Linked DNA regions of Drosophila melanogaster. The protein of the gene in region 2 interacts with the protein of the main gene of each other region in a biochemical or structural test. Each region holds a gene or a part of one and is shown on either strand. Other genes may lie near its edges.

Region 1 (12,770 bases), on a different chromosome or scaffold from region 2:
AAGGACCTTATTCAGAGCGCGTCTGTAACATTTGTACTACTATTATTACAATCTTAATTCAACCCGCGTGCAACGGGAGCTGTCAAAATTTAGCGTTGTTGTGAAATCAAGAAACATTGACACAAAACTTCAGCAGGGGTTGTTGGTATCGAGAGTTGAGCCTGCTCGACCGAACCTGTTGTATTATTTTTTGCAAATACAACTTGCTAACAGCAAATACAGTTTGTCAAGAAACTGTTTACACACTGTGAAATAAGTTGAATTTTTGACTTTAAAGCTAAAAATAAAGGGTTTTTTGCTTAATTAAACGCAATTTTTTTATAAAATATAATTAAACAATATTTATTTTACTTATAAATCAAAAAACAAATTAAAAATATTAAATATACAAGAAAATAAACAACAAATTCCAAGTTTACACACTTTTGAGACTGTCAAGAAACTCTTTACACAAAACACTAAATCGAAGTTTAATCCTAAATTTTTTAATTATTTTATTAAAATTTTAAAAGTTTTGGTATGTAGTATGTTCCCCATTGGCTTTAGCTACAAGTTGAAGCCTTTTTTTCATGGATTGGACAAGTTTTTGCAGGTCATATTCAAACGGGATCTTTTCACACTCTTCGACTATTACAGTCATAAGCTGTTGTTGTGTTTTAGGTCCCTTTTTGCCACCTTCTTCTTTAAGTAGGTCCACAAATTTTCAATGGGGTTCAGATCAGGACTCTGAGGGGGCGTATCGATCACTTTACCACAGTTATTAAGGCGCCAGGTGCGTACATTGCACTCTTTATGTTTCTGATCATGTCCTGGTAAAACTTAAGATTTGGCTTGTTGTTGCTAACTAGACCGAATTTTTCTGCACTGGCCTTCAAATTTGTTTTTTAACATTTCTAGATATTGCACGGCAGTTATTGTGCTCTCAATTAAGGCTAGTTTTCCCACTCCACGGCTGGTGATACAGCCCCAAACCATCAGTGACATTTTTCCAAATTTTATCGTTGGAATGATATTTTGTTTTTCTAGCGCACTCAACGGTTTGCGCCATACTCTGCTTGGCCCGTCGTTATAAAAGAGCATCATTTTTGTTTCGTCACAAAATATGACGTCATCCCAGTACTCTTCCGCATGATCCATCATGCTCACAGCGAATTAATGACGCTTTTCCATATTGGCATCTGATAGCAAAGGGTTTTTCCTTGCAAATCTTGAAGAGTACCTATGGCGTAGGATGACTTGGCGCACAGTTTCGTGTGACACAGTTAGGTGGCATTCTTGCCTGATATCCAGAGCAAGTGATCTGACCGAGATTCGGGGGTTCGCAATCACTATTCGCATAATAAAGCGGTCTACACGCTTTTTAATTTTAATTTTCCGCCCACCACCGCTCTTAGGTTCAAGCCTGCCCTCTTTTTCCGAGCCTTTTAAAACATTGTAGACGGTCTTACGGGATACAGGAAACATTTATACTAATTCTGGAAAAGATTTTCCCAACTGGTGGTTATAGTTTATTAATTGGGTAACTTCAAAAGTTAATCTCTTTCCAGGCATTTTATTAAATTTAATAATTCGCTTTAAGCACGTTTGATCAGCAAAATTTCACAAGCAAAGTCAACAAAATTTCAATAGAAGCGTTGTAAAAAGCAATGCAAAGCCAAAAATAACGGAAAAATCGAGTTCGTTCTAAGAAAAAGAACAAAACAAAGTAGGAAAACAAAATGTGTAAAGAGTTTCTTGACAGTCTCAAAAGTGTGTAAACTTGGAATTTGTTGTTTATTTTCTTGTATATTTAATATTTTTAATTTGTTTTTTGATTTATAAGTAAAATAAATATTGTTTAATTATATTTTATAAAAAAATTGCGTTTAATTAAGCAAAAAACCCTTTATTTTTAGCTTTAAAGTCAAAAATTCAACTTATTTCACAGTGTGTAAACAGTTTCTTGACAAACTGTATATGTAATTTGCGAAAAACAAGCAGCCAAACGCACGGAATGACGCGTGCCGAAATTCTTTAAGGGTGCATCGAACCCAGGACTTTTTCGAGTGGGTGGCAACTTTTCGCCGGAATTATTGATTCAACAAGAAAAACTGGAAAGATGTTGCAAAGTGGTGGCGACCTGTCGCGGAAAAACCCTTGTATATTGCTACTTTTTGTATTTTTTCGGATATCAAATGGAAATTGAATATTTTAGTCATTATTTAAAGCAAGTGCGAATTTTCTTTTGTATTTTTAAGACGACCTGTTTGAAAGCGTGTGACGACGACGTCGAGCAAATAAATTGGCCTTGATATGCATTATATACTCTGGCCAGGTTCTTAAACTGAATAACAGACCAAAAAAAAAATGACTAGGCAAAGTTTAATGAACGCAGACCGAAAGAATATGAATAATAATATGAAAACCGCAACAAGTTGAGAACGTTCTGATAGCAACAATTTCGATTTTCTATTTTTACTTCTCATTGTCAAGTGTAAATTGTCGCATAAGAAATGTTTACCCCACTTAAAAGTAATGTTTATAATGTGCTAGCGGTACTGTACTGTACGAGGATATCGATTTTACTGATTAAAAAGTGAAAGGGGTGAAAACTACACAGATAAAAATGAAATGTAACAATACATTTGAATGCAGTTTTAATTAATTCGTTATAAGACAACAATTGGACATAATATTTTAAAAGATTTTGCTAACTTTACTTGAGAACCAATCTGTATTTTTCTCTGTGCATTGTGTAATTATTATTGTTAATTTACAAAAGGGTGGGGTTAATGATACAACTCACCCCTCCCCTCCCCCACCATTCTAGCAGCACCCGTTGCCGTGACGATGTTCTTGTGATAATTAACAGCAAACAACAAACACAGCTCACCTATCAATTTGAAGGCAATTATCCAGGAGGCTAACTCGTTGCCCTATCTTTATGTACATACCTACATACATACATATGTATCTATGCTTGGCAAGTTGCATTGCCAAGTTCAAGTAAATAAATTGCCTAGAAACAACAACCAACCGTTTATGCAAACAAGCATGTTTGTGAGTACAGCAAACGCTCGCAAACAGCGTTGCACGCACATTTGTACAAACAACTGACATGGTCACGACTGCACGGCGATGACGAAAAGTGGCACAGTGGTTCCATATGATATTATGAAAGATATAAGCCAGATATAAGAACTATTTAAGAAATAATACTACATCTTAATTATCGAGATAGATAGAAACTTTGATGAATTGAATTTTAATCGAAACTAGAGAAGGTTTAGTTTTTATCTAGATTTATTTTATTCGATTTATAAACAGCTGTTGTGAAAACCTCTTGACAAAAACGTTTACTTCAAAAAGGTGTTACTTTCCACACCAAAATCCAGACCAATGTCCTCAGTAAATAATATTTATTTAAAAATGCAACCGAAAAGTGTCAAATTTAACAAATAACAAGCAGCAACAATAGGTTTTCGACCCACGGTTATCAAATTAGACATTTGGGTGGTGGATATTCTGTCTGCTTTGTGTATATGTATGTAGAGTGTGGTGAGAGGTGAGTACGGCGAGGTTGGGCGATTTCAGGGGAGGTCAGTAGTTTTGGATTTGGCCCAAAGAGCGAACAAAGCCGGGTTGAGTTTTCTGGGTAATCGTGTCAAGGTTAAATGCATGTGCTCCACTTTAACAAAGAACGATAGAGACGGCACTTCATCTGGCATTGACCAGCCACCCTCTGCCGACATTTCAATAAAACCTTGAGACATCCACCCGGTTAAAGTTATCAATTATTCCACCACACTACCATGTTTGATAAGCTCTGTGGCAGCTGCCTTAAAATGGCATGAAATATTCACAGGGAAGAAGTTGCGGTTTAATTTGATATGGACGGAATTATTAAACTATCATATTTAACATAAGTACATCCTGACCTGCAACTTGTAACAAATTTTCTTATCTAGCTTGTGCTTGCAGTTGGCCCGGTCTTCTTTATCACTATCATTGAGTGGAATGACTCACCGTAGTATTTCAGATCGGTGACCGCCTCCAGGTCCCGTTGATGGGCCTCATTGTCCAGATCAAGGGGTGTACTATTGCTGGTGGGCATGGCGTAGGAGGGCGTGGTCGACGAGGAGGCCTTCGAGGCTGCTGCTGCCGCTGCTGCAGCCGCCGCCGCCGCCGCTGCAGCTGCATTGTTGGACTTGGCCTTGGACAAGCTGGAGCTGGATTCATCGATCTCTATCCCGTTCGGCTCATCCTCCTCCATGTCCTGGTCGTAGTACTCCCGCTCGGGATCGCGTCCGTCCTCGCTCTCCGCATCCGATATGCAAACAATATCCGCCACATTTGTGGTGGGCGGGGATGGAGGTGTGGGCGGTGATATGGTCTCGCGGTAAGTGTAATCCCTTGCAGATGCTGAAGTGGTCTTGCTGCTGCTATTGGTGTACTGACCGTTGGTGGCACTGATGCTGTTGTTGTTATTGTTATTATTATTGTAGTTCAAGGTCTTTCCAGAACCAGAGCCGGATCCCTCCGTATTCAGTTTGGACTTTTTCCCATTGGTCATCGTTTCGGAATTGCTATTCTTTCGCGTTTTGCCATTGCCATTGGCTACCAGCTGGCCATTTAGATGATTCCGCACCATTTGATCTGGCTCCTCGTAGGCTAGTGACTCCGATTCACGGGGATGTTGATGATTCTTGAGGCGCGACGTACTTGTACCGCTTAAGATCTCGTAGTTTTGCTTTTGCAAGCGACTCATGGCTAGATTCTTCCGTAAAAGATCCTATGCCTTTAATAATGCTCTACGTGCTCCTCACGTAATCGATGGATATTCCAGGAATTAACAAATAAAAATAAAAAGGTCCAGGGACTGATCGTGGCGCATCGTTGAGCTGGAAAAACAGAAATCAAAGTAAAGACATTTTTTCGAAAATCGCTAACAATTTGTAGACAATCATTAAACTTTTTGACACATTCTTATATGAGTACTGACATAAAGTTGTCATTTTGGCTAGCTAGACTGTTTTATTGTTGTAGTATTTTTAATTAGAAACTGAATTAGTTTTTTCTATTCATGGATGTTCAACAATGCATAGACAACATGTACGATATAAATGTTCCAGTTCACACATTTTAAATACTAAATAAATAATAACTGAATTGTTGAAATTTATTCCGCAAGATGTTTTGAACATAGCTGTTTCTTATTGTGTTCTATTTAGGCAATCTTCACCGTACCTTCCCAATGCCCATTGCCCATTTCTATCCCATTTCTTCATCCACAATATGGTACAGTTTCAACGCAGGCGGGAGTAATTTTCCCGCTGTTAGCGGACAATTGGATGGGGAAACTCATTTCTGAATAGAACACTATTTGGGAGTTCGACTCACCTCGCGAAAGATTATAAGCGCAATATTATAATGCAGACGAAGAAATCCGAATCGGAGTGTGTGTGTGTGTGAGTGGGTGGATCTGGATGGGGAGGGGGAAGAGTGTTGGATTATGCGTGGGGCGGTAGCGATGTGCAACACTGAACGTTCCAATGATAATGTGCACCGATTTATGCAGCACTGGCGTTGGCTTAAATATTATTCAACCAATTCGGTTGCGGTTTCTTTTCATTCTTCTTTTTTGCTTGTTATATTATGCCGTGATTATCACAATCTTTATCAGTCGCGCATTTTTCACTTCCACAGTTAGTTTTTTATTTTTTTTTTTCGATTTCTTATTCTTTACCGTTCTCTTTGCCCACAACTACGTACACATATGCACACTCACACGCTGGCACTTTCTGTATCGGCTGCGTTTTTAAAGCGTTTTTGTTTTCGTCCGCTGATTCCGCTCCGGCGACTGTTGCTCTCGATTTTCAATGGATTTTCCAATTTCCCTGCGTACGCTTGTACTTGTTTTTCAATAGACAATACAGTAACGTTTTGATATTGAGATTGAATGTTTTGTATAATTTGTTTTGTGTTACACGAGAAGGTTTTTACCGCCGCTTTCTACTCGTTTACGCACACACACATTGAAACGCAGGACGCTCTCCGCCATCTGCTTTGCTCTCATTCGTGAACACTTATTAGGTACGGACCACCTTGATGGGAATCGCGTCGATTTCCGTTACACTCGATCAAATCGGGTTTATATCTGTATTATAGTACAATATAATACAATTAAAATCGAGAGAGCCCTAAAACGATTAATGCCGGATAATTGGCTATTTGTAATTTCAACACACAGCACACGAACCGCACGTAGAAATTTTCCCTTTGCTTTTGTGTCACTTACCGTAGCTATCGTTATCGATAGTGTTGACAAGAGGCCAAAAAGCGTGGTGCTGGAAAGCAGCCGTATATCGGTTGGCAGGGATGGTGGAGACTATCGTTTCAAATATTTAAGAATATTATATTTTGATTAACAATTATAATGAAGAATAAATTTAAGGAAAATGTGAAAATTTCGTTTATCAATAGAAAAAATATAAGAATTACCATAAATTTTAGTTTGGTTTTATTGAACTATTTCGTAAGCTGCACGGACGTAAATAAACCTTAAAAAGTAACCATAATATTTGACAAATTCTTTCTCGCCAAGTCGGGAACTGTGCATCCATCTTTCGGATAACCAACGGGCAGTAGGATGAGTAATTTTTCATTGACGGGTCGCCCGAGCAGGTTTCTCAAGGCTGGACCGCAGTTCAAAGGAGTGGTGACCAGCGATGCGAGTCCTGCCGCTTGAAGGGCACACAAAAGGATACCGGCCGCAATCGAAGTGGATATCTCGTTGTAGTAATGCCTCCTCATTCGCTTTCCATTCTCCGACAATCCATAGGTCTGCTTGAAGATCAGTATAAGGTACGGCGCCTCGGTGAGATACTCCTTGACATGATTGGTTTGCAGGGGTCGCAGATCGGTGACCCACTGCGGATGCATCCTCTGGCTGTAGTTGACCAGCTCCTCCTGTTCCACAATTTCCCGAATGGATCGCTTGAGTTCCGGCTCCTGTACGACGCAGTACGTCCAGGGTTCTGTGTGTGCGCCACTGGGAGCTGTTCCCGCCGCCCGAATGCAGTCCTCTATCACGCTGAGATCCGGTTTGGGATGGCTATTAAAGGAGCGAATGCTACGGCGTCCACGCATGAGTTCATATAAGCGTTTGGCTCCATTAGGGTTGAGATTCTGGCCGGGAACGAAGGGCACATGGGGCTTATCCTCCAGAGCCGGTTGCAGTTCATCGCCAAGATCGGCAAAGTGTTCAACTGGAAAATAGAATAGAATAGCTTTATGTTCACCGTGGATAATCTTAAAACTTACCCTCCTCCTCGACTTGTTCATCTAAATTATATGTTTTTAATACGCGATTCCCTTTAAAAAACAATCTTTTTACGATCCATATCAGCGCCAGAGTGATAAATAAACTTGGCCAATGCTTGAGTAGCTTGGAGCTGCTGATCAGTTCGTCCACATCCATGGTGCTTCAAGATGTAACTGCTTTTGCGACGGAGAGAAAGTGGCTTTGCTTTTGCGCTCGGATTGGCTTATCACTTGGTTAAGTGGGTCACGGCTATTGCTGATAGCGATGGATGCTGGTGGATGGGTTTTGGTTTCCACTTCAGTTGTTGTTCCGGCAGCAGTAGGTGCAATGGCTGCCCTTGTGATGCTCGCACATCCTCTGTTGTCCCTTTTCGTGGGCACTCCTATCCGACATGCATTTTGGATTCTTAAGCATCTGATTGGGCTCACCCGGTTTTCGTTTTTGCGGCGGAATCGGTCGGCGTGTATTGTTGAGTGGAATGGCCTTCTGGTGAACCAATTGGCGCTTGTGCACCTCTCTCAGAATCTCGATGATCCGCCACTTGGCATCGAAGAATATAAAATCGGGAGCAGTGGTTAGCTCGGTACGTATCATATCGCAAAGCATCTGCACTTGCTGGCTATTCGCGGATTCCTGACCGGATGGTTCCTTCTCCATCAAGTGAGCCGGTTCTTTGCTGGATTCAGAAATATCTGAATTTTGCGGACTGGATACGGAATTTCGCGTAGATTGTGGTGGTGTTTCCCGACACGGGGGTTCACACTTTGAATTTTCGGCTATCCAGGGGCAGGAAACTGGGCTTTGTGAGGATTCCACTTCCGGCTTGCAGGGACAGGTCAAATTGGTGGATACTAAATCCTTCTCATGGCTGGACATCTTGCAATTGGAATGATGATGACTGGTTTTATCCTTACTGTTTTGTATGTTCTTCTGCTCCGATGGAGAGAGTGCGTCTTTCTGTTCCTGATCCTCCAACCCGCTGATTTTCTCTTCTACCGAAACTTCATGATCAGCGACTTTTTCTGCCTCCTGAATTTCCTGCTCTATGGGATTTTCTTGCTTCGCATTTTCTTGATCAGGAATTGGTTTGATCTTCTTGTTTGGCCGGTCTTGGGGGTCTTTTTTGGGCCTCTTGGTTAGTAGATTGCCGGGAAAACCGGCCAGAGGAAAATCCGTGAAATTGGTCAACTTTTGGCACAACATCTCTGGGTTGGCTATCGGATTTTGCAAAAGTTTTCCGGCGGCGAGTGGGCTAGTTCCACTGGCAGGAAGATCCTTGTCGAAGTGTATATTAAGATGTGGCACCAGGAAAAGAAATTCATTATAGTAGCGAATTGAAGGACTCATTATCTCTCCACACTTCCTTCGAGCACGTTCGATAATGGTGTATTCCCGCTCAAAGAGCGTCCTTAGCTCCTCCAGACAGGATCTCAGTTCCGAGACGCTTCTTCCCGGAAATGAGCGCACCATTCTGTTGTAGCAGTCATCGTCGATATCTTTGTTACCATAGTAGCGATTATGGCGGTTGTAAAGGCTATTATGCTTGCTATAGAGACGTATAAGCTTCCTGACATCATGATCCTCCAATGAGATATGGTTTCCATTTGTCTCACTCTGATTCCTCGCCCGCCTGTCTCGTTTGCCAAACAAAAAAGAGAGAAATCCCCCGGATTTCTTTGTTTTCTCGATGCTATTGGGTGTTTTAGGTGGATCTAGTGATGCCAAAGCGGGCTTAATGCCTCCTGCTGACTGACTGTGGCTGGAACTGATCCTGGAGGAGTGGAGATGCATTGGCGTCACTAGGCAACTCGAAGCGGAACGCTTGAAGTAACAGTGCCTGTGTTTTGGTTCCATCCTCGGCGATCTGGCGCTTCAGTAGCGTCACATTCGGGTTCACCTCGCTTTCAACGGTCTTTGGGTTCTTTAATGGCAACAGCATTATAAATCGAAAAAATTTTGTACCATTATCTGGAAATATAACTTTTGTAATCCTGACTATTTTTTTTTTACTTTTTTTGGGGTGAATGTAAGTGTCACTGTGAAGTTTTTTCAAATGCTTGGAATTATATACCAATTTTTGCAAATTTCATAGACAATATGATTAACTTAATATTTAAAATATAAGTCTGACCAGGATTTTAATATAAGAACATAAACAAGATAAAAAAAAATTTTCAAGAATTTCAACAATTTCAAAACAACCACGCTTTTTAACGGTTTTTAACGAAATACTGAATCAGCTGTTCCTCGCTGAAAACTTTGCAACACTGCGCGAGAGAAAAAAGCGAGAGCAAGGCCGTGCAGTAAAAGAGCGAGCGAGAGCGGCCAAAACAACCAAAATAAAGTTACGTGAAATTATAAATAAAAAATAAGGAAATACACGTTCAGCTGCCGACCAGCCAAATACAACAAAGCAACGCTGTAAAAACTGAAAACACATTTCAGTTTATTTCGCCTCGTGCCATGTGAGCAACTTCAAATTGATATTGAATCGGAATCAGTGTGCGGGTGGTGCTAATTAGCGGAAGACGGCAATTTATTGAACGCGAAAAAAGCCCCACAATCCAACTTCCATTTCGACACGAAACCAACCACCCGCCAAATCAAATCGCCGTCGAGTTGTGCATCAAATGAATGTGCGAAAAGTGCAGTAAATCAATGTTTTTGTGAGTGTTTGAAAGAAGAAGACGGAAGGAGCGCCCACAACAAAAGCAAAGAGAGCAAGACCTAACGGGACACCCGAAACCAAAAACCTATCGGCACAACGACACTTTCTCAATAGCTATAGTTTTAGTTCATATGTTCATATCTCGGAAAATGGACGAGGTCTTTAGCCTACACATGGAGAAATTGGACGTTTACGACGGTTAGTATCTAATTTGCCGGAAGTTCTACTTAAACGTAGAACATATGTATATGATGGAATCTGGGTTGTATTTCTGATTAATGAGTTCATCAACTTTCAAGGAAATAATAATAGTAGTAGTAGTTGTAAACAGCTGAAGTATTGGGTATAAAATAACACTGATATGGGTAAAATCATAATAGACACTTTATTTGATTCAAGACTCGCATGATTTTAGCTGTATGAATCATGTCGAAAATAATAGAAATCACTATTACTAAATATAGATAATTTTAAAATTTAGATTCAGTGCAACATGGATACAGTGATTAAGTGTTACAATATAAACAAAAGTAAAAGAAAAGTACAACAAAAACAAGTATTTGGTGAGAAATGATAAAAACTCACCAATAATGAAAACCATTTATGTAGGATTTTAACAAACACTGTTCTCGTCTGCATGAGTGCTTGTCTTTGTAATAGAATTCGAGCAATTGCACCATTTTAATCGAAAAACTAAGATGATACACATGGTTAACAACCATGGGAAATGGCTTAAAAGTATGAAAATATAAGAAGGTAAATCAGGAGAAGCTCCTCGTTAGTCATTGTCCTTGGGATCGGGATCTGGTTCAGCGAGAATCTCCTGGATGATTCGATGGCCGTCCTCCGTTTTCTCACCCTGAATGATCAGATCTCTAAGCGTAGATATATGTTTTTCACTCGTCTCGATCTGAACCTTAAGAGCATCGTTTTGCTTCCTCAAATCATCGATGCGTTTCTTACGTTCCTCGGCCGATTTCTTGGTCTTTTCGCGTGTGCGCTGAACAGCCTGTTCCGAGAATAGTAATAAATCAATAGTGGGCATCTATTTTTGGGGACTTCTGGGGGCCACGGCGCCACAGCAACATGTTTCCCAATCTTTGCTCTCTGTTTACATCCAAAACTCTTAAACTTACCTCATTGTTTTTCTTTCTTTTTTCTTTGTACGCTGGATCGTCTGTGTGCGGACTTAATGGCGAATCGCTATTTTTGCTGGTCGACGCGGCAGTTCTCTTTTTGGCCGGCATTATCTCCGTGATAATACTGATATTTATTTAGTTCAAATTGGATCGCAATCGGACGGAAATGCAGAAGAAAACACAGCGATGTATGCGTTGTTTTGTTGTGAAATTACACGATAAAACAGCTGTTCATTAGCCCTCCCAGTGTTGCAAAATGCGCTGCCTACACTGCCCAGCCAACAAACAGTTAGCGGTATTATTTAATTAAATTAATTGCATGTTGAAAATCAATATTAAAACTCACCCAAAACCATAGCCATGGAATGCTATTCAAAAACTGTCAACCAGACACTTTATTTGGTTTGCTCAGACTTTCACTTTTTAATTTCTCAACTGTTTATACATTTTATTTGTAAAGACTGATTGCTTGTACGTAGATGTAGTTTAATGCAATAAAATTAAATGAAATGTAATACGTAATAGTCAATAAATGTTTTAAATAAGCAACAGTTAAAATTACCAACGTGTTTTTTCCAACACTCCACCCAATAAACAAATTGTGTCAGAAGTATTGGCTGCCGGCGCTTTACAGTACTGGATTATTTGCAACCGGCTTATTATTGCACAAAAATCTAGTGAAATGTCCTCGCCAGCCCCCAAATCGCCAGAGCTTTCGGATAAAAGCAAGAAATACGACAGACAAATCAGGTGAGGAGCGTTTTAATTGATAAATTCGGAAGCATAGCACTGATGACACCTATTTAGGCTGTGGGGAGAGCATGGACAGACGCTATTGGAGGCAGCCACAGTATGTTTGGTGAATGTTACGGCCGTCGGCTGTGAAACTGCCAAGGGACTGGTGCTACCCGGTATCGGAGGCTTCACTGTGGCCGATGGCAGCACCGTCAAGGAGGAGGATCTGGGCAACAAGTCGGTAGACCATCACACATTCCCTGACCACCATTATAAAGTCACTTTTTCCGTAGTTTCTTCCTCGATTCCAGCTATCTGGGCAAATCTAAAGCATTGGCTTGCATGCAACTTCTCCAGGAACTCAATCCCGACGTAAATGGCGATTATGTCGACGAGAGTGCCGACTTTTTATTAGCCAACAGACCGAACTTCTTCGACAGCTTCGATTTAGTGATTGCCTCCAATCTCAATGAGCAGACTTTGCTTCTCCTGGCCGAACGGTTATGGGAGCTTAACGTTCCATTAATCTACTGCCGATCGCTTGGCATGCTGGGCACAATACGCTTGCAAATACGGGAACACTGCATCGTGGAGGCGCATCCGGATAATCGACAGTTTGATCTGCGTCTGGAGCATCCATTCGATGCTTTGCGGGAGCATCTCGACGGCACCGAGGTGACCAGTAAGGTGCCCTGGTTGCTGGTTCTTCACAAATACCTTAATGTGTGGCAAAAACAACAAGCGGATGGGACTCAAACGCCTCGAAATTACAAAGAGAAGAATCAGTTGAAGGAGACCATTAGAGAGGAGATGAAGGCGGATGAGGAAAACTATGAAGAGGCCATCAAGGCGGTCAATACAGCCTTTGGAGCGGGACAGGTTCCCAAAAGCCTGAAAGCCATATTCGAAGATGATGCCTGCGAAC
Region 2 (12,770 bases):
TGTGGTTGTAGTCTCAACTGGCCAATTGCACTTTGCTTTTTTCGATAATTCGGATATTTTTGTTATTGCACCTTGAAGTTCTGCACCGACTTGATGTTGAATTCGCGTTTAAGCATCTCACAAACGCGATTTATCCGCAATATATGCATTTTACACTGCGCCTACAGCATTTTTCCTTTCCACACGAAATCTTAATACGCTTTTATTTTTCCGTTTTCTTTGATTGCTGCTTCGTAAACAGTGTGGCAGCAGGGTGGAAAAATACTGCCAACGAGGTGGGAGCGCTTCGAGTATATACCAGAAATACACAACATATGGAAATAACGGCCTATTGGCTACAGTGAATACAAGATACATTTACATTTTTTTATTTGTGTATTTCGCTATTTGTAAAAAAAGCGAGAATTTAATTGAGAAAACGAGTATCTTTTATTTCTGAAATAAGCACTATGCTGTTTCAACAATATCTCTGTTAATTCCAGACTATCTGGCTGATAAATGTTTCCCAGTCACGATCGATAGTGTGGGGATGGATTGAAGTTAATGACAAGTTTTATTTATTTTGTACGAAGTCACACCTAGCTCTTATCTTATGTACTCCCACCTAAGCCTTGGGCACCACTGAACTGCTATTGGGGGACACCAGCTCATCGCCGCCTCCGTTGTTGCCCACATCCGCCAGCGGATCCGCGTTCTGGCCACCAACTGAACCGGCATCCGTGTCCAAGGCCTCGCTCAAGCCATCATCGTCGTCGTCATCACCGCCAGATTTGTTGTACACGGTGGGGTACTTCTGGAAACAGTCGCGCATCTTGGTGAAGGCATCGTAGCAGTCCGATCCCTTGGGATCGGCGGTGCTGTTCTGGAAGCAGGAAAATGCCTCACGGAAATCGACGCCACAGGGACCGGTGGCCATGCCGCCGAGGCAGGGACAACTCCAGTTGATCTTGCCGTCCTTGGTGATCACGCCCTCCGGCTTTTCCGGCGGCGGCAGCTCGATGGTGCTGGGCGTGGCATGGTCCTCCTTGGTCACAAAAATCACCTTGTCCTTGCCGTACTCCTTGCAGTAAGAGAATGACATCCTGATGCGGTAATGCTAGTTAAATGCTACAAACTCCTCGGGGGATTCCTCAAAATCCAAGGGCTTTCGGGATGTGCTGAGCACCTGAAAATGGCAGGGCACCTCCTGGTAGTATCCTATTAGGGCTATAGCTACGCGAACGCGATCCAGGACGTTCTCGGGCACCCGGAGAATGGAGCGTTTTTGGCTGGAACTAAATTTCACAATTTCCAGTATGGTCTGGCCACCTATTTCGCCAAAAATACTAGCCAAGGAGCTATGGATGCAGCCACAGAAGAATACGGGCGTCAGAGTCACGGAGTCTGGATCACGGAGTTTTCTGGCGATTAAAAACGTGAATTATCTTAATTATATTTGCATGATGCACGTGCGCACGTGGGAAATACGGGGCTTTAAGGAGCGGGGCTGAGTGCCCGGAACTCACATCTTCACGTCCAGATATTGGTAACCACTCATGCTTTGGGTGCAAGTGCCAGTGCCCCTCTTTTTTTGGCGGAATCTTCGGGAAAAGTCGTCCAAAAGTTGCCGGTCAGTGTGTTTTTTTTATGTAATTACTCCCCTTTTTTGCTGTTTCTTTCTGCTTCTCAAACAGCTGTGCGCCGCCAGAGATGCCAGCTCGGCTCACAACGGACATGAGTAGTTATAAAATAGCTAAAATTATAGCCATTTATTAAAACATTTAAATTGTTATTGGAACTACTTAAATGCAATTTTATTAAAATGGTTACAAGTTTATGGGGTTTTTCCGCTTTTTAATCTCATTTAGTAGCCATCACAGAAATCATTTCAGTTCGTTGTGAATGACAAAAAAATCAGATCACAGTAAAATCAGTTAGGATTCAAATTCAAATTCTTCATGACGGTTATAATGTATATTACACTGAGTATTACAATTCGCTAGTCCTAATCATCGGACACAACCGCGACAGTCTTTTCAATGCTCTTCTCAAAGTCCAGCGATGATTTGGATGTTTCCAAGATCTCAAAATGACAGGGTATCTGCTGGTAGTGACCGATGAGCTCAATGGATATGCGGGTCATGTCGTGCAGTTGCTCTGGCACTCGAAAGATAACACGATGTTGCTGGGCGCAGAACTTCACGATCTCCAGTGTGGGTTTCTCCTCGCAGAAGAAACTGTCCAGGGCGTCAAGAACGCAGCTTCGAAACAGAGATGGGGTCAAAGCAACTGCAGTCGGATCCCGAAGTTTACTATTAAATAAATGAATATATTTACTGAATTTAATAACAACCAAGTTTATATTAATGACCGCAGAACATCATTCTACTCACAGTTTGATGTCGAAATAGTAATAGTTCGCCATGGTGATCTTGCGCGTTCCTTTTAAGCGGGATCCTCTGTAGTGATAGAGTTTTGTGCGTTCGGGGCGATTGGCAAACTGATTTTGCAGTGAATTGCGCGCCGCGCAGTCTTTGTCGAAATTCTCTCACGCAAGACGTGCAATTTAAATAACGAAACTCGAAACAACAAATAGTCAAATTTAACTTCGAAACTGTCAAATGGAGAAGCTAACGAATGTTCAGGCACAGCAGGAAGAGGAGGAGGAAGAAGGTCCACTCAGCGTGACTAAGTTAATAGTGAGTAGGCTGCGATCTCGACCAGGATTATTATGGGCATTCCCTACGATATCCTCCTCCTAGGGCGGCAGCATCACGGCCAAGGACATCAAGCTGCTCCAGCAGGCCAGTCTGCACACCGTGGAGTCGGTGGCCAATGCCACCAAGAAGCAACTGATGGCCATTCCCGGCTTGGGCGGCGGCAAGGTGGAGCAGATCATCACGGAGGCTAACAAACTGGTGCCTCTGGGCTTCCTTAGTGCTCGCACCTTCTATCAAATGCGTGCCGATGTCGTGCAGCTGAGCACGGGCTCCAAGGAGCTGGATAAACTGCTGGGCGGCGGCATTGAGACGGGATCCATTACCGAGATCTTTGGCGAGTTCCGCTGCGGAAAGACCCAATTGTGCCACACTCTGGCAGTAACCTGCCAGCTGCCCATCAGCCAGAAGGGCGGCGAGGGCAAGTGCATGTACATCGACACGGAGAACACCTTCCGTCCGGAGCGTTTGGCTGCCATCGCGCAAAGGTACAAACTGAATGAATCCGAGGTGCTGGACAATGTGGCCTTCACCCGTGCCCACAACTCAGATCAGCAGACCAAGCTCATCCAGATGGCGGCGGGCATGCTCTTTGAGTCCAGATACGCTTTGCTGATTGTGGACAGTGCCATGGCGCTCTACAGATCCGATTATATTGGTCGCGGGGAGCTGGCCGCCAGGCAAAACCATTTGGGCTTATTTCTGCGCATGCTTCAACGCCTGGCCGATGAGTTCGGAGTGGCTGTGGTAATTACTAACCAGGTTACTGCCTCGCTGGACGGCGCACCCGGCATGTTTGATGCCAAGAAGCCCATTGGCGGGCACATCATGGCCCACTCCTCAACCACGCGGCTGTATCTGCGCAAGGGTAAAGGCGAAACCCGCATCTGCAAGATCTACGACTCGCCCTGTTTGCCGGAATCGGAGGCCATGTTCGCCATTCTGCCGGATGGAATAGGAGACGCCAGGGAGAGCTAATTGTGCTCACTTATAGGTTAATTAATGCTAGGAATAGAGCTCCCTAACTTTCTAATGATTACTTATCCCTAGACTAAGAATTAAACTTCGTAGATTGTTTTTTTTTTTGTTTTAATGTTTACTTAGAATGTTTAGGATAACGACGAAATAAAACAGCCGTTGCGAATTGTATGTACCATCTATATTTAATTCAATATTATTCAAATCATCTACAAACTTAGAAAATATTTAGGGGTTTCGAAGCAAAAACCTTTTTTTTAGTCTGGTAATAAGCGGATGCAGCAGGAAAAGCCCCATCAGCGCAGCGTAACACGACATGCACCTGGCAGGCAAACAGAATTAAGGAATTTAGCTGAATTTTTAACCTAGAATTAAGCATAGCCCACTTGGCTCATCAAAACTTTGTCATCCAAAGCACGGTCTTTAAGTTGCCTGGTTTGTAACGCTTACGAGTAACTGCAAGAAAGAGGATTCTTGAAGATGTGTTTCAACTCAGCGGTTTGCGGTTTCCCATCCTACCTTATCATGTAATTGGTCCAGCAGAACTGGTCCTCGATCATTTACTGTGGAGCCGATCCGGCTGAAGCGGCGGCCTCCTTGGCCAAAACCAGGCTATTATATCCGCGCTCGTTCATCCCGACGCGAAGGTTTTCGTTGATATTTTTCGTATAGGTCTTGTAGATTTTTACCTTTTCGCAGAAGTCGATCCAAAAGTTGTCCTCGCTCTCGGGCTCCGGATTGAAGAGACTCTTGAAGCCATCGTATATGCCAGAGGAGACCTTGCGTATGGTCTGCGCCCTCTCCTTGAACTCCACCTCGTCGGACAGGTCCATTTTCCAGAGCTCCAGATTGCCCACATACCGGCGAAGTCGGCGCATTATGTCCACGCACTCCGGATTGCGCAGCAGCATCAACTTGGTGAACTCCACCTCCTTGAACTGCTCGAGGATCTCCAGGCATTTGCCCACATTGGCGCGCCGCAGGCCCAAACATTCGCGCAGCTGCTGGGAAAGTTGGATGAAGTCTCGCTCCATGAAGAGGGCATCCTCGTGCTCAATGAGCTCCTCGATGAATCGCAAAGCCTCCTGCTTGGGTATTTCGCTGCGTGTTGGCTCCACCACGATCCTATCGGGCATGGACTCCGGATTGATTTGGCCGCTCTCTAGTTTCAGTTTGAGCTCCAAGGCTTCTTTGCGGGCGTTCTCCATCCAGGCTTCCTCGGCAGCGGCGCTTTCGAAACTCTCCGGCTTTTTGTAGTTTATAACGATTCCCAAACACTTGGCTGTGGGCATGTACACCATGAGCATCTCGTTCCGGATGTTCTGTTTGGGCAAAAATGGAAATCAATGTATCGTAATTCATACTAGTTTATGTCTGGTGGTATTTCTGCATCGCACTTACATTGACTGGCCGCGACCGCTTCTGAATCGGAGTTACTGCAGCCGTGGGCTTGGATTTCTTCACTGATTTCTTGCTGGAGGTGGGGGTCGCCGCAGCCGGAGCAGCGGGGATGGCTGCGGCGGTAGCCAGACCCTCGGTGGGAACCCTTCGCTTGGCCGGCGGAGGTGCTAGTTCCGCGCCTGCTTCACTATCCCCGTCCACATGGCGCGGTGGTGCCTTGGTCTTCCGGGTGCCGCTCTTCTTGGGCTTCTCGGCCGCTGCTGCGACTGGTGCAGCAGTGGCTGGCTCCGGTCCCGGCTCCGGCTTGGGCTCCTCCGTCTTGACGCCATCACCAGTTGTGGGCGGAGCAACTGGCTCCGCGCCGTCGAGCAAATCAATGGGCGCCGAGTCCTCGCCGCGCAAGGCGCTCTCGATCTGATCGATGGCCTCGATGAACTTGGCCCGCTTCATGATCTTCTCGGTGGCGAAGCGCTCCTTGTTGCTGGCGTACGGGAACAGATCCTCCAACTTGATGTTGGCCGTTTCGCCCGTGCCGTAGAAGTAAACATTGTACTTCTTGTTGTTGTTGCTCTTGGTGATTTTGGCCGGCCAGGGCGGATAGCCCTTCACCTTGGCGAACACCAGGTCGCCAATGCTGTAGGAGGCGGCCGCCTTTTCCTTACCCATTTCGTTTGACTTCTAGCTCGTTTGGTTCGCGTGCAATACCAATATCTTTTGCCGTATTTCTGCGGCGTCTGCTTTTCTTCTTTTCGTCTCGCGCTTTCTTAGATATGGCACTTGGCTCCGATAACAGCGATGTCGATCGACAGTGTGGCCAGCTCAAGAGCCAGCCAGCGCTAGCAGTGCTCGTATGTGCGTTGGTCGTTTGCGGTAACGACGAAACTGTAGCTTGGCGGGCTTTTAGCTTTCGAATTTAAAAATGATGGAGCTCAATAAAATATAAGAGTTTTTCGTTAAATGTTTATATGTTTCTTATTACATAGTGAAACACACTGCTTACTATTCTGCATACCTTTTCAAGTTGGTATCCCAATCTTCTTTAGCTTATAGTTATAAGTAACTTTGAATGTTTTTAAGCCTAAAATTGTCGGCATATTTAGCAGGCATTGCTCATTTCATTGGCCAATTACGAGTTCAAAATCGCTGGCACAGCTCCCACAGGTGGAAGTTCGTTGGCAGGCGATGCCGGATTCCCACCTCGTCGCACCCACACAAAACACCTTTGGCGCACGCACCTCGTCGCGCGAATTCACCACATCAACTCGAACTGAAAACATTTTTCGAAGGCATTCCTATTCGTCGGCCAGTCGTCGTTGGTTGGCCAAAAAGAACAGTGTTGTCTCTCCCACGAGTTCCCAAAAGAACTTCAGTTTGTTTACCGAATCGAATCGAATCGAATTGAATCGTTGGAGAGCGAGCAAGGCGGAAAATAATTTTTAATTTTGGCCTGGAATCCGCGGAATTCGTTTATTGTTTAGCGCAAATTCCCGACTAAGTGGCCAGCGCGAATTTGTGAGCCCATAAACATGCAGGAGTTAATAGTCGGCGGCATCGCCATCAGTGGCGTTCCCTTCGCCAATGAGACGGTCGAGAAGGAAAGTCGCCAGAAGTGAGTAAATGCACGCACATTTTGCAGTTTGCTGCCAAGTACAAACATTTGTGGTCGACATTTGAGCCCGTTTTGTTAGCCACAAACACTAAGCACTAGATTTGCTCAAGGTCGCCATGATGTCACCTCGACAAACCTTTGTGGCTGCCTACTACCTAATTTGCTCGCTATATAAATAATCACACCTGAATCGAACAGCTAGTCGTGTTTACCTGGCGGAATAAAGCAAATAGAGTGTTAAAACAAAATCATAACAATGCCTTAGAATTATTACCTATTATATTTTATATTGAAAATCAGCTTTGAAATATCCATTGAAATACAATTCCCCCCTTTTTACGGAAGCACAAACTCCATAAATTTGGCCATAAAGCAGCATATGCAATACATTTGGCCACATGCGTTTTTCAAATCCGATTCGTTTTCGAGCAAAATTCCATTCTGAATTCCGATGTACTTACATGCGAGCATATTTCCCGCTTTTCGCCAGTGTCCCAAATTTGAATTGAAGACGGAAATCGATTCGGAACTGAATGCCTTTCATTGAATTGCACAATGTATTCGAATATTACAAATTATTCTTGAGTTTTCGGCGCATTCTTTATCGGTGGCCCTGACTCTGACAATTGAATTCAAGGACGGCATAATTGCCAAAATGAAATTAGTCATTTATCATTGAGGGGCAGACGGAGGTCTGTCTGCAGGTCTGTCAAAGTTTTGGCAGTCGAAAAATGCGGATTTTGAGGCCCCGAGGTGGATATTCATACATAGCTGGGATGTAAGGCATCTTGTGGGTTGGAACCCCATGCAGTTCTCTAGATAAACTGGGGAATGACTAGATGGATAGGCTCAGAAGATAAGCGAATACCGTCCATCCCGCCCATTAACCTAGATTCCCTAGAAAACAAAAAAAAAACAATCATGTGATGGACAATGGAGACAAGGATTTCGGATTCCAACGCTCGCTGGCGAATTCATAAATAATGGACTTGGAATTCGAAAACAGCTCAATTTGTTCTTGCCTTTATTTTTGCATTCGGCGATAAAGTGAATAACGAACGGAACATCGGGGGCGGTGTGAAATATTTTAATTTCACTTATTTTCAAATCAAGAAATTTTCTGCCGATGCCACTGCCTCTTTGGTCTAGTGAAAGTGACCGATGATTAATTTTGGCGCCGTGCCAGTGGAATTTGTGATTATTATTTAATGACGACGCCGAGTCGCCGTAAACATATAATAAAACCGAAAAGAACAAGCCATTTTGAAACAACACACAAAATGGCAATACTCTCGTTCGAATAAAGTAGTTTCGAGATGTTATTTTGGAAGAAATGTAACCTCCCAGGTGTTCAGAAGTATGCAATATAATATTTTCAGCTCGAAACTCAGCTGAAAAAAACTTCAATAACTTGAGTGTTTTGAAATCTCTGCGAATTTCTTTGGTTTCTAGCGAAGAGTGTAGACTTATTCGTTTTGAAATCAGCCGAGTGCTTAATTTTACATTCCTCAGTGGCAGGAGCTTTTGGAGGGCGATGACAGCAGGAAAGGCGGCAGGGATTGGCACCTTCTATTTGATCTCTATTTGATTGGATGACTGGGGGTGCCAAGGGATGAGAAGATGGAGCGGGCAAAGGGAAACCAGATGGCAGACCTCTGTTTCCATTATAAGGTTGGAAGTCAGGAAATGATATAATATGAAAATATGACTAATCCCAATGCTGCCTTCGCTGATCCCTTACTACATTATATATATCGAAGGTAACTGACCTCTTGGATTTTCCCAGCCAAACGGATTTGGATCCAAAAGATCGGAGGTGCAGTGGTTAATATCCCATTATGCGATGACTGATCTGTTTGTTTACGCATTCGCCAAATACCATTTTAGAACTGCGCTATTTTCACATCGCCTCCATTTATTATACACTCCGCGAAACTAATTATAAACAAGCATTTCTGAGGTGTACAGATACAAATTTGGATATAGTATATACATATATGTGTATATACTATATGTAGGTATTTTGGCAATATGTTTATTGTTTGTGCCTACGCAACGAACTCATAGAACCATGACGTCGACCCATAAATACGTAGGCGATGGGATGGGATGGGATCGAATGGGATTGGATTGGATGGGCTGGGATGGGTTGTTTTTCCATTCACAAAAACACACACGAATACCTGCCATTTGTTTATGGCCCATTTGTTTTTGGCTTAGCACCAGTTGTGCTCCTTTGTTCGCCCGCGAAATGTTCTTATTTTATCGGGTTTTTCACCCACTTTGAAGTGCACCAGGTTGTCCAGCCAAATATTTGCGCATTTATGCCATTTGGCAGAGCCCCCCAGAACTTTGTAGCTATGTAAATTTAACGCATTGCATAAGCTTTCTTTTGTTCGGAAAAAGAATGAGAACTCACCAGTATTCCCTCTTTGATTCCTTGCAGTCAGCTGAGTGCATCCACGCTAGAGGATCACACGCCGTTTCCCGGTCTGTCCCGCATCACTCCATCGCTGATCCTTTGCGGTGCCGCGGCGGTGGTGCCCGCCTACATGGACAAACTGGGCGTGAGCTGCGTCATCAACGTGGCGCCCGAGCTGCCGGACACACCACTGCCCAGCCAGAAGAACCCGCTCTATCTCCGCATCATGGCCCAGGATCGCTCCGAGGTGGACTTGGCCAAGCATTTTGACGAGGCGGCCGATCTGATCGAGGAGGTGCATCTCTCCGGCGGCTGCACGTTGATCCACTGCGTGGCCGGCGTCAGCCGCTCGGCCAGCCTGTGCCTGGCCTATCTAATGAAGCACGCCGGGATGAGCTTGCGCGAGGCCTACAAGCATGTGCAGGCCATACGTCCGCAGGTTCGCCCGAACTCCGGATTCTTCCAGCAGCTGCGACGGTACGAGCAACAGCTGCGGGGCAGCAGCTCGGTGGCCATGGTGTACTTCGCCTCGCTGGACAAGGAGATCCCCGACATACTGGAGCCCGAGTACAGGGCCATGGAGGACTTCTACCAGCGCTACCGCAGCTCCCTCAAGAGGCGATAGGCCCGTTGTGCCGCAATTAATCTTACTTGTGATACTCGTACCCTACCACTAGCCTTAGATTAGATGTTTAAGTTGTGTGTGCTTAATGATAATGAAATGAAATGCTGAAACTTACATAAGATGTACGCTTAAGCCTCGTTCGTAATTACAAATACACTTTTATTTTCGTTTAAGAACATTGAATCTACCGCGTTAATTAATCAGTTGTAGTATCTTCAATCAATCACAAAGTTATTGGCGAACACAAACAACACACTCGTATTATATCGCACATCATCTAGTATTATTTACACGTACACGAAAAGTAGCTAACTAAACCGTAACTCGAAGATTGGGTACCTTTAAATGCTCACGTTGTATTGTACTTGGCATCCGCGAGGCGAATTGAATAGATCTACAGGTATACAGATATACAGATATGAGTAGGAGGAGCAGGCGACCTCCGCTTGGGATGCGTGTATGTACATTAACACCTAGAATTCAGCATCTGTGCACAAGCGACTTAGGCGAGACTTAAATCGAACGAAATAATTGGCTAGCTAAAGGCAGAAGTAACCGTTTGTGTACAATCAGCTAAGTTAACTCTAGTTCTACTCAGAGGCCAGTGGCAACGGCGGCTGCTGCTGCATTAGTTTCTTTAGGTTTTCGTACGCCGTATTCATGATGCCCCAGCTGATGAAGGAGCGGCCTGTGTTGAAGGGGCATCCGCGATAGAAGTTGCCAATGCGGCGATCGCGCTCTACGTAAATTCGCTTGCACGCCTGCCAGCTGCCCTCAGACCTCTGGCCCATCTCACTCTGCAGCGACACCTTGATCACATTGAGCGGGTAGAATATTGTGCTTATGCTCGCACCGATCACGGCGCCCGCTATGAACTCCTGCACTGTTCGAGTGGATACGGATTTCTGTGGATGGGCAACGGATTGGTTAGTATCTTAGTAGGTTCGTATGTGTGATAGGGTCAACACTCACTCTCTTAGGCAGCCGGACGCTGGCCTCTTCTCGCAGTACGAAAAATAACGCGTTGGACAGGCCGTTGCGCCAAAATACTGGTTCGAGTCCCCTGTAGAGCTCCCGGTAGCCGTGGTGGGAAACCACATACCTGTGGAATGATTAAAAGCCATAAGAAGATCCCATTAGCAAACTTAAAGATCCGTCAGCTCACCTGAATGCGTTTTGTGTGTTGGAGAAGTGCTGGTGGAACTTGGAGTCCGCGAGGAGGGTTTGCACCCGTTCGAAGGGCAGGAGGATGGACTCGGCGCTGCCGGCCACCACGGCCGCTAGCACCTTGGCCCCGTAGTCGTTCAGGCGGTAGTCCTCCACGAGGTACCTCCTCGTCCCGTCGAACACACCGAACATGATGGACAGGGATATGGTCTTCTGGGCGAGCGGCGGCAGCATGCCGCGGTACAGGAAGCCCAGTCCCTCGTGACGCAGCTGTGCAAAGGCCGAGGTGATGGGCACGCCGTGCAGCATCTGACGGAAGATCATCTTGTAGATGGGATAGGTGACCGCGATGTTGACGAAGGCTGCTCCGCAGCCGCAGGCGAACTCCTCCCACTGAAAGGAGCCGAAGAAGCGCTTCGAGAAGACGCTGCCATGCAGCAGTTTCCCCGCCTCCCCGTCTCCATGTGGGCTGTGTGCTCTTCCGGATGGAAACCTTTTAGGGGGCGGTGGGTCGGTGGTTTTCGCGACGTTTGGTGCTCCATCGTCTTTCATCTTGCTGCTGTCCTGTGTTTATTTCGGGCGTGTGGAGAAGTGCGCATTTGTCACCGCGTTACCATTGTAACTATTCAAACACGGGGATTGCGCTGGTTTGGTTTGTTTTGGTTTCGATTCGCATCGGTTTTAATTATATAATAATGAAGAAGAACCACGGTTTGACGGCCACGGCCAGTGTGACCGTCGCTGGACCTCTGCTGCATACCAAAGGACTCTGTTATCCAAATTGTTCACAAGCCAACCAAAATTAATTGTCGAACTTAAATTAGCAGCGGCGGCTTTGAGTTTTGTACTCGCCCTTTTCGGTAATTTACAAACTTAATATAACACCGTATAATTAAAATATTCTTAGCAGTGCGTTTAACAGCACTGTCACTTTATTTTGACCGAATCACCCTGTGTACTTGTTCCACTGACGCAAAGACCACCCTATGGATCAGAAACTTATCATGTGCTGGTATGCATTGGGTGCTCTAAATCCACGACTTGGATGCTTTTGTATTAGCCTCCTAAACCTCGGGAACACCTGCTCCTTGATCGCTTCTGTCAGCTTTTTACTTTTTCATTCCCAGCTTTCTTATCGTTTTTTATCAGATGACGGTGCTGCAAAACATCTATTGAACAGCTGTTGCATCCAGTGTGTAAATGAAATATGTTCACACTGCACAGTGGGTCAAGAGGCAAAGCATATTTAATTATATAACAAACTCCACCAAGCTGAAAATAGTTCCATATTTTGTTGCACATAGTTGCAATCGTCGCAGTTGCTCGGATAGTGATTAAACCTGCAACACCTTATTTGACGCGCCCAAGTTTAAATTCATTACACGATGATCCGCAATATATCGCTTGGCATCGCCATGAACGAAACTATCGGCGAATCATCGACGCACGACGTATCGATGTTTTTTCACACCACCAGCTTTTTCTTTTCGCTTCTGGTTTCCGGCAAGGTATGTGCGTGATTTTGGGCCCACGTGTATTTCCATTAATTTTAAGCCGTAATTGTCGTTTTTGGCGGTTTCGAGTTGAACTGCGTTAGTCCGTGCGCTGTTCGCAAGTGTGCGGCTCGTATTTCGACCGAATTCGGATCGATTCCTGTGAGAGTTCGCCAAATGGCTTCTGTTTGTGATGGGAATTCGTGGGGCGACACACCGGAAACTCAATGGATACTGCCCAAGAAGCTAGCCCAACCTGGTTGAATTATGCATTAGTGGGACACCTTGTGTGTTATTAGCTTGATAAGTGATATTTCCAGTGGGTCAGTGCACTAATGGCTACTTTTGTTGTGTCCTTCCAGCTTCAAGATGACCATCC

The links.
Region 1: the proteins of Jasper (region 2) and JIL-1 form a complex in vitro, tested with the Drosophila melanogaster proteins (one study listed by BioGRID).

Annotation. Positions count from the first base shown.
Region 1 is NT_037436.4:11,086,893-11,099,662, forward strand, and holds the start of JIL-1 (JIL-1 kinase), read right to left. Parts: upstream 6,302-12,770; 5' UTR 5,380-6,301; intron 4,965-5,379; exon of another isoform or gene 4,881-4,964; 5' UTR 4,748-4,880; coding exon 4,006-4,747; intron 1-4,005. Other genes in the region: Iyd (iodotyrosine deiodinase), read right to left, coding at 6,541-7,247, 7,303-7,459; CG46439 (uncharacterized protein), read right to left, coding at 7,601-9,157; CG33947 (uncharacterized protein), read left to right, coding at 10,121-10,169, 11,200-11,249; Irbp18 (inverted repeat binding protein 18 kDa), read right to left, coding at 10,750-10,980, 11,108-11,218; APP-BP1 (beta-Amyloid precursor protein binding protein 1), read left to right, coding at 11,793-11,860, 11,918-12,082, 12,139-12,770. UniProt on the Drosophila melanogaster protein: Phosphorylates 'Ser-10' of histone H3. May regulate gene expression by establishing or maintaining the structure of more open chromatin regions. Also required for normal polytene chromosome structure, for oogenesis and for viability throughout development.
Region 2 is NT_033777.3:30,045,770-30,058,539, reverse strand, and holds Jasper (JIL-1 anchoring and stabilizing protein), read right to left. Parts: upstream 6,027-12,770; 5' UTR 5,742-6,026; coding exon 5,076-5,741; intron 4,997-5,075; coding exon 4,235-4,996; 3' UTR 4,194-4,234; intron 4,131-4,193; 3' UTR 3,843-4,130; downstream 1-3,842. Other genes in the region: CG7950 (uncharacterized protein), read right to left, coding at 605-1,081; Rpp14a (ribonuclease P/MRP subunit p14 a), read right to left, coding at 1,097-1,400, 1,506-1,537; Rpp14b (ribonuclease P/MRP subunit p14 b), read right to left, coding at 1,985-2,291, 2,373-2,404; spn-A (spindle A), read left to right, coding at 2,601-2,678, 2,742-3,674; CG15528 (uncharacterized protein), read left to right, coding at 6,602-6,684, 9,131-9,731; CG7943 (uncharacterized protein), read right to left, coding at 10,322-10,636, 10,704-10,833, 10,897-11,450; RpL32 (ribosomal protein L32), read left to right, coding at 12,619-12,650, 12,754-12,770.